Arabidopsis thaliana: one gene and its partner. The protein of the gene in region 1 interacts with the protein of each later gene in a pairwise test. Each region holds a gene or a part of one and is shown on either strand. Other genes may lie near its edges.

Evidence for each region. Proteins that work in one complex are often made in the same cells at the same time.
Region 2: the proteins of AT5G51980 (region 1) and AT5G09240 interact in a two-hybrid assay, tested with the Arabidopsis thaliana proteins (one large-scale study listed by BioGRID).

Annotation. Positions count from the first base shown.
Region 1 is NC_003076.8:21,112,861-21,118,257, forward strand, and holds AT5G51980 (Transducin/WD40 repeat-like superfamily protein), read right to left. Parts: upstream 3,338-5,397; 5' UTR 3,189-3,337; exon of another isoform or gene 3,074-3,188; 5' UTR 3,043-3,073; coding exon 2,491-3,042; intron 2,118-2,490; coding exon 2,028-2,117; intron 1,909-2,027; coding exon 1,807-1,908; intron 1,715-1,806; coding exon 1,568-1,714; intron 1,467-1,567; coding exon 1,347-1,466; intron 1,269-1,346; coding exon 1,209-1,268; intron 1,113-1,208; coding exon 1,015-1,112; intron 935-1,014; coding exon 790-934; 3' UTR 501-789; downstream 1-500. Other genes in the region: AT5G51970 (GroES-like zinc-binding alcohol dehydrogenase family protein), read left to right, coding at 1-138, 232-424; CBF4 (C-repeat-binding factor 4), read right to left, coding at 4,253-4,927.
Region 2 is NC_003076.8:2,873,160-2,876,544, forward strand, and holds AT5G09240 (ssDNA-binding transcriptional regulator), read right to left. Parts: upstream 1,691-3,385; 5' UTR 1,622-1,690; coding exon 1,490-1,621; intron 1,377-1,489; coding exon 1,265-1,376; intron 980-1,264; coding exon of another isoform or gene 907-979; coding exon 734-906; 3' UTR 501-733; downstream 1-500. Other genes in the region: SRT2 (sirtuin 2), read left to right, coding at 1-112, 185-284, 404-454; KIWI (ssDNA-binding transcriptional regulator), read right to left, coding at 2,327-2,445, 2,817-2,922, 3,075-3,209.

The DNA.
Region 1 (5,397 bases):
CGATGTAACATTCGACTGTGCGGGTTTTAACAAAACCATGTCGACAGCATTAGCAGCCACTCGTTGTGGCGGTAAAGTCTGTCTTGTCGGAATGGGTCACGGTATAATGACTGTCCCTCTCACTCCTGCAGCTGCAAGGTAACCTCCTTTGACCATCATAGTAAGAAACTTTCTAACTTTTGAAAAGTACAATCACATAATAACCAAGTAAATGTGTTGGTTTGGAGACAGGGAGGTAGATGTGGTGGGTGTGTTCAGGTACAAGAACACATGGCCATTGTGTCTTGAGTTCCTGACAAGTGGTAAGATTGATGTAAAGCCACTCATAACCCACAGATTCGGTTTCTCTCAAAAGGAAGTGGAAGATGCCTTTGAAACCAGTGCTCGTGGGAGCAATGCCATCAAAGTTATGTTCAATCTCTGAAAACAATCTTTGCTTTTCTAAGAACATATTAAGGTTTCATAATAAGGAAGCTTCTGTAACTTTGTTATCCATTGTATATCAACTCTGAATCTCTCTTGAATAAGATAATCCTTTATGATAAATTGACCAATACAATCCAAGCGTTACAAGACAAATGCTGAAATTGGACAAAAAGGGACCTAAATTCTCCCGATTCTGTCTCAAAACTCCTAACATGACACGATCTTGGCCACTGTCCATTTCATCAGACCGTGGCTTCTACTAGGAGGACCTCAACAAGAAAGAAAAGTCTCCAAAATAGACTCATATATAATGGTACAAGAAAATCGTAGAAAACATCTCTTTGACGATAGCATCAAACTTTCTCAAGGCAAAGCCGCGGTTGGTTCAGTGCACCATTTCCATACTTTAACTTGACCAGTTCCGTCACCCGTGAAAAATATGCCCCCGGGACCTATCTGGATCGCCCGTATCTCTTGCTTTGCAAAGATTTTTCCCCTCTCCGTAAATCTAATGAACAAACCTAAGCTATCAGAACCAATAAGAGAGAAAGAGATGAAGAATTCATACATAAACGTTGAAAGTCTTACGATGGTAAGTCGTAGAGGCGCAAGGTGTTGTCATTGCAAGCGCATAACAAAACAGGCTTGGCTTCTGCATCATGTACACCACATAGAGCTAGCACTCCCTGAATCCAGTTTAAACATTGCCAAAATTTCTTAGTCACATAACATATAGATTAGGACCATAAGAGAAGGTAACACATTTATAAAAGAAACCATACATGTTCTTCTTTGTGAGTATATGTTACTTCCAAATTGCCACCTTCGATTGCAGCCCATATCTACAGCGGAAAAACACATTAACAAGAGAAAGAATGAAACTTAAGAAATTTATGAAAGTTAAAGAAAGACGAACTAACCTTAACCGTGTTGTCCAATGAACAAGACAAAAGGAATTGATCCCAGCAAATGAGAGACATCACAACTGATGAATGATCAGTGAGTGTTTGTATACACTGTAGATTATCCAAACTCCAAACCTATCAAACAAAAAACATATAAACCAAAAAGATTAGCTCAAAGAAAGAAAAAAATAGTGAGAGTTTTCAATTCAAATATAATAGATAATACTAGTACTTACTTTTATAGTTTTGTCCATGGAACCCGAATAAAGTCTGTTCGCCCCAACATATAAGGTAACAACTGCAAGTGTATGGCCCGTCAGTGACGCTGATGGTTCAAAACAGTTAGTGGCAGCATTATATCTCCATGCCAAAATAGAGCCATCCTGCACAGAATGTAAAGAACTTGTCACTTATATAACCAAAAGCCGACTATTTCGCAGAGATCTCAGCAAGAAAAGAAAACTTGGAAATTTACCTGTGTTCCAGCAAAGAGCAGATCAGTACCCACAACAAGAGAATAGACTTGGCCAACAGGTCCACTTAGACTCTGGTCAGCATTGGTTTCAATATTCCACGCCTGTATCAACAACAATGAGACATAACCCCATAAGCATCTAAGAATGAAAAGGGTTCCTCGATATCTATTGTGACAGTCAAAGAAAAGTACTGTTAAGAGGAATCATACTGAATACTTGCCTTGACAAGGTTTGGCATGCCAACTAATAGCCACGGGCCTTCACTAAGCACACAGCCAATTTCCCCACCAAGTTTGAGTACTCCTGTACACTAATCAAAAGAGAAAAGAACAATATCCACGATAAGTAAACTTGAAACAGTCTTTCACAAGATCAGAAAATGCATTCCTCAAATACAATCAGCATCAGCGAATTAGACACTTCCTTTCCTAATTTGACAACAAAGACACCAATTTCCATCGATATATCAGTGCTCACTACTCTACTTATGACAAATTGCAGTCTCTTGTGTCACTCTAAATCTTAACCAAGCAGTTATAACTATTCATCAAACATGGTTTTCTAGCTAGAGAGGACAACAATAACATCCATGGACAACAACTGCATTCTCTAAAGCCACTCTATATCCTAACCAAACAATTCTATCACTGAGGAAAGCTTAAGGTCCTTTGAGCAAACCATACCTGTCCAGAAGCACAATCCCAAACACGCAAGGTCTCATCTTTACTTCCAGTGTAAAGCTTATCAGAACCAGAAGGCAAAGCAATACCACTAACAAGCTTCTCATGACCATCAAGCTGAGTCAACAACGCAAAGCTCTCTCCTTTACTCCAACAATGCAAGTATCTACACTTATCACCGTATGTGCAATTCCCATCTACCCAAAAGTTGCAAACTTTCTCAGTCTTCGTCACCGTTCTGTTCCCACCAAATCTCCCCCAACTACTACTCGAGTTCCCATTAAACCCAGGTCCTCTCCGATGACTCGGACCCGCGAAACCAGATTCCTCAGCGACCCTTTTGTTCGTATAACCCGGGCCTTGACCTTGACCCGGACCAGGACCCGGTAATTCCCGATGTAGATAAGGACAAGGAGAACGATTACAACGCCCGGCTCGCCAGTGGAAACAAACCTTTTGTCTTGTATCCGTTGGTGCCATCGGACGAGTTGACCCGCCACCGCCACCGAGTCTGTTGAAGACTCGTTTGTTTCCTCCGTTCAAATCGAAATCCATAGCTTTTTTTATTGCCTCTCACTCTCTTTCTCTAGATTACAATAACAACAGACGCAAATTAACACAAGACCGAACTTAAAAGTAAGGATTTTTCCGATTGGTATATAGATAAATCAAGCTGCAAAATTGGAGGAAACCCTAATTACCAAAAGAATCTCTGAGAAGTAGTAATCAAAATATGAAAGTATGAGAAAGAAAAATTTGGGATTGTTGTGAATGTGGTGAAGTGATAATAATGCAGAGAAAAAAGAGAAAAACTTTGGAGTGGATTTATTTGTATGTGTTTATAAGCTTTGGATCTTCGTGGAGAGGACAGAAGTAGTAGAAGAGAAAGAGAAAGTGAACACCAGTCGCGTCAGCTTGACGTCTATTGTTTAGTTACTATTTTATCCCTATGATGGCTCTATTTTACAAAATTACTTTAGTGTTTTCTCTCGGTTTAAATCGGTTCTGATTTAGACCGGATTGTAGGTTTATGCTTTTGCCTTGGAATGAAGGGTTCTAGGCACAAGCACAACCCTATACATAATGAAGGGTTTTTAAATCTAGCGAGCCAAGAAACCCCACACTTCTATAACTGAAAGAAAAGGACATGTAAAGTTAGTGAGGGCCAGGGACATGTTTTTCTAGTGAAAAGATTTCCAAGTGTTCAGTGTTTGCTTAGAAGAAAAAAGATAGATGATTACCATAAGGCGTGACTCATGAGAAGCTTGAGGCCACATATAAATATTCTACCTTTTTTAAGAACCACAATATAGAAGCTATATCAGTCTAATGGTCAAGGACCTCTATTACTCATTCACGTGTTTGGACTAATGTGTAAGAGATTTTATAGTTTTAATTTTTTTTGCTGAGTCTACAAGGAATATATGATAATGTGAATCAGGATTATATTTGGAAAAGCAGAGGTTTCAAGCTTTTATAAGCTCTGGAAATTTGGTAAAGATTGTCAATACATCAACGAAACAAAGAGAAATCTATTTACAGTTTCAGATACAACAAAACAAAATTTTCAAATTCTATAGCTCTAATTTGATCAAATCTGTTTACCAAAAACAAACAAAGAACATTCTAACAAGAATAAATGATAGACGATTTATTACTAAAGATTTGGTACCAAACAAAAAATACAGGTACGGAACTCCGGACCAATCCTAGATGTCCAAATAATCCCTAAACTAACTTATTATCCAGAAAAAGAGCCAAAAAATTACTCGTCAAAACTCCAGAGTGACACGTCACCCACTCCGTCAAAGTCGTTATGATTCCAGCCAACTTCCGGCGGCGGCAAAAGCATCCCCTCCGCCATATTCTCAAAAAAGTTGGGCATCCCCAAAAGCGCCTCATCATCCATATAAAACACACCACCATTCTGCTCCTCCGCCCTCCTCTCCCCCTCCCTCACCCCCTCCCCTGCCGCCTCCTCTGCCTCCGCCGCAGTTTTAGATCCCTCCGTCGTAGTCTCATTCTGAAACGCCATTGCAGCTTCAGACGCAGCTTTCTGAATCTCCTTAGGACAAGTAGTCTCAGGAATACGAAGCCGCCAAGCAGAATCAGCGAAATTGAGACAAGCAGAGCGACCACGAAGAGCTAAAGCAGCAACATCATGAGCACGAGCAGCCATTTCAACCGTCGGAAAAGTACCTAACCAAATCCTAGATTTCTTATTAGGCTCTCTAACTTCACAAACCCATTTACCAGAATTCCTCTGACGAACTCCTCTGTAAATCGGATGACGTGTCTCACGAAACTTCTTCCTCCCAGCTCGTTTCTTTGGACAACTTGAAGCTAACTTTGGTGAACACTCACTACTGTCTGAAACCGGAGATCTATGATCGGAGATTGAGAGAAACGAGTCTGGGAATGTAGAGTAAAATGGATTCATTTTTTCTTTGGATAAGATGTTTTATTTCTCTTTCTATCTTTTTATGTTTTCAGGTGTTGGAACTTTTGGAGATATTTTTATTACAGAAAGTGAAGAAGTGTTGTGTTTTTATTTTATAAGAAAAGTGAGAAACACGGAGGATCTGGTAACGACAAGTGTCCCACGGTATGTGACTTACACGTGTCCTTCTGAATCACTTTACTTCGTCTAAGTGTATTGTGTACTGTGGCTGGTTCCGATTCGATGGTTCAGTTTTGATATTTATTATTTTATTGAATTTAAGTATGGTGTTCGGAGAAAGGGGACGATTTAGAAAAAGACAAAACAGTCTTTAGTTTTAAAAAGTGATAAAGATACGTTGAGGATGACGTCATGGGAACACGTTTTTGACAGTTGGAGTGTAAACTGCTCTCTGTGGTTCGAAAGGTGAGCCACGTTTGAAGGGACGGGTTCGTCCGCTGTCTAGCCAC
Region 2 (3,385 bases), about 18 Mb from region 1:
ACAACATCCCGAAGGAAAGAGCTACTCAAGCAATGGAAGTTGCAAAACAGAGCGATGCATTCCTCGTGTTGGGTTCATCCTTAATGACAATGTCTGCTTTTCGCCTTTGCAGGTGATGCAGGAGAATAATCATCCAGTTTTGAGTTTGCATCTTACTAAGAAGCTTTCTATATACCTTTTGCAGAGCGGCTCATGAGGCTGGTGCTATGACCGCAATTGTAAATATAGGCGAAACAAGAGCTGATGACATTGTTCCATTGAAAATCAATGCTAGGGTTGGTGAGGTATGAGCATAGCATAAAGCTCTTCCCTTTCCTTCAGCCTTGAAAATGCCTTAAATATCCATATTATTTCATGATTGTCAGCCTTAATAATTTGTCATTTCGTGATTGGTTTGCTGCAGATATTGCACAGAGTTCTTGACGTGGGATCGCTCAGTGTCCCAGCTCTCTAGCACAATGTCCGGATCATTTAAGTAAACTTTGGCAAGAGCTATGTTATCATTTAGATCACCTATATATATTATTTATAACTAATCAAAATGAATGCTTGTATTCCTGCAACGTATCTCAAGTTGTAAATCCAACATCAAATAAAAGAGTAATCAACATCAAATAATAGATTCAACACATGAACTAACTCGAAGCAGCTAACACTTGCAGAACATGGTGTTGTTCTGAAAAACAAACCAAAACAACCAAAGCCACCTTCCAATACCCGATTACACAAGCTTTTAAACCTCAGAAAGCTCAGAGAGGGCCTTATCGATATCCTCCTCATGGTTCCGAAGATCGTTCCACTGCATTAAGAAAAAGGTCTCGTGTAATAAGCAGGACATATGCACGTGTGGAAGACATAAACAATGGAAGAGAGATGTGAATACCTGTTCCAGGCTTAGAGAGATACCTGCAACATATAGGAGACATCGAAAATCTTGTCAACATGATTATGCAAAGAAAGCAAACTAATATAGCTGGCCCTAGGAGACAAAAACCAAGACGTTGTTGATGAAAAGAAAACACTCTGCGCATCTCCTCCTCTCAGTCCCAAACCGCAGAAGTACTAGATATATAATAAAAGTCCCTAAGATCTGCTAACTAAATGCAGAACCTTAACGAAACAAAACATGAAAACAAAGGGATGAGGATACATTGTTGACCATAAAAAAGAAAAGAGAGGAGGATACAGAGTATTAGCAAATGTGGAATTGTGAGAAGAAGAGAGACAGTCAAAAGAAGATATGTAGTTAAAAACAAAAATTTACCTTGCTTGCTATTACAAGGTAAAGTTATACCGTCCTTGACAAAGAACTGACGAATGGCAATCCAAATCCTCCCATTGCAATTCCTCACAAAGACTCTCCGATTCTTATCTAACTGGAATGTAAACAAAACATAACATCATAAACAAATATCACAACTTGATCCAAACCCTAAAACTCATACGAACTGCTACAGACAAAAAAGAGATGAATAGTAGAGAGACTAACATTGCAGATGAAGATGTCCTCAATCTCGTCCGCTGGCTTTGCCACTTTCTTAGGCGGCGCGTGGGTCTCAGATTCGTCGCGGTCGTCTGATGCTCTGACATCCTCGTCTTTCCTTTTTCCGTTCTCAGACATTTTCTTAACCTCTAAAAAAAACACTCTTCTACTGCAAAAATTGACTCTTGAGATTCTCAAGTTAAATAAAAAGCACCTCTCTCCTTTTCTCGCGTAATATATCTACTGCGTTCACCGAATTACAACTGTGATATCAGATTCGGAACGCCATTTTACAAGCGCACAGTTTGAGAACACGCGCGGCCAAACTTAAAACGGGGGAGTTTTTTGGGAAGGTAAATATTCTTTGGAAAAGAGCAACTATAGCAATGAAAGTAGCAACACAGAGTGATACATTTATTGTGATGGGTTCATCTTCAAAGACAATGTCTGCTTATGGCCTTGTCCGGATCAAGTGAAGTTTGGCAAGAGCTATGTAACATTTAGACCTATCTTGTTTATAACTTATCAAATGAATACTTGTATTCCTGCAACGTATCTTAATTTGCAAATAAAACAGCACTACAGCAGTAAATAAAAGAGCAATCATTATATTCTTAATACCAACCAAAGCTTGTCTGAACCAAAAGTGAAAGATTCCATACACCAACTAATTTGAAGCAGCTTACACTAGCAGAACATGGTGTTGTTCTACAAAAACAACCAAAACAACTGAGCCATATTCTAATAGACGTACAACCAATGATACAAGTTTTAAAACCTAAGAAAGGTCAGAGAGGGCCTTCTCGATATCCTCTGCGTGGTTCCGAAGAGTGTTCCACTGCATTAAGGAAAAGCTGTGTAATAAGCAAATAACAAGAAAACAGAAACACTTCTAGGAGACATAAAACAGTGGAGAGAGATAGAAAGAGATGTGAGTACCTGATCCACGCTTAGAGAGATACCTGCAACGTATAACAAACATAGAGATAATCTTGTCAACATGATTAGTTATGTAGAGATAAACTAATATAGCTGTCTCTAGAGAAAGACATGAAGGAGCAATAGCACCAAAATAAACAAAACGTTGTTGTACAAAAGCAAACACTCTGCACCATCTCCGCTCATACTTACAAGTCCATAAACAGTCTCAATAAGCAGAATTGCCTATTATAAAACCCTAAGATATGCAATTCTATAAACCTGACTAAATGCAGAAACTTAACAAAGCAAAACAGTAACGAAATATAAAACTAAGAGATGAGGAAACACATTACTAGAAATAATGAATTATGAGAGCCAAGGGGCATTGGTTTAAATTACAAAATAAAGTTACCTTTCTTGCCAGGCAAAGTCTTTCCGTCCTTGACATAGAACTCACGAATGTCAATCCAAATCTTCCCGTTCCAATTCCTTACAGAGACTCTCCTATTCTTAGATATCTGATGTATAACCAACATGAACCCTAATTTGATTAAAACCCTAATTTTGAGCAAAACACATCAACAAAATTAAAACTTGACCGAAACCCATAAGCTCACTGCTAATAGAGTAGATAACGAAATTGAAAGATAGACAGAAAGTGTAGACTAACGTTGCAGACGACGATATCGTCAGACTGGTCGGAATCGTCTGCTGGCTTTGCGACTTTCTTAGCCGGCGCGTGGGTTTCAGATTCGTCATCTGATGCTCTGACATCTTCGTCTTTCCTTTTTCCTCTAGAAGACATTTTCTCCAACTGTAAATAAGCAGACCCAAAATGTTCTCTTCAGACCAGAGTAAACTCGCACTAAACAAAAAACCGAGCAATTACAAAATTTAGTAAAAGTGAGAAGGAAACCTGGTCGTGACGCTGCAACGAGTTTCTCGGAGACGGCGAAAGGACTCTTCTACTGCGAAATCGAC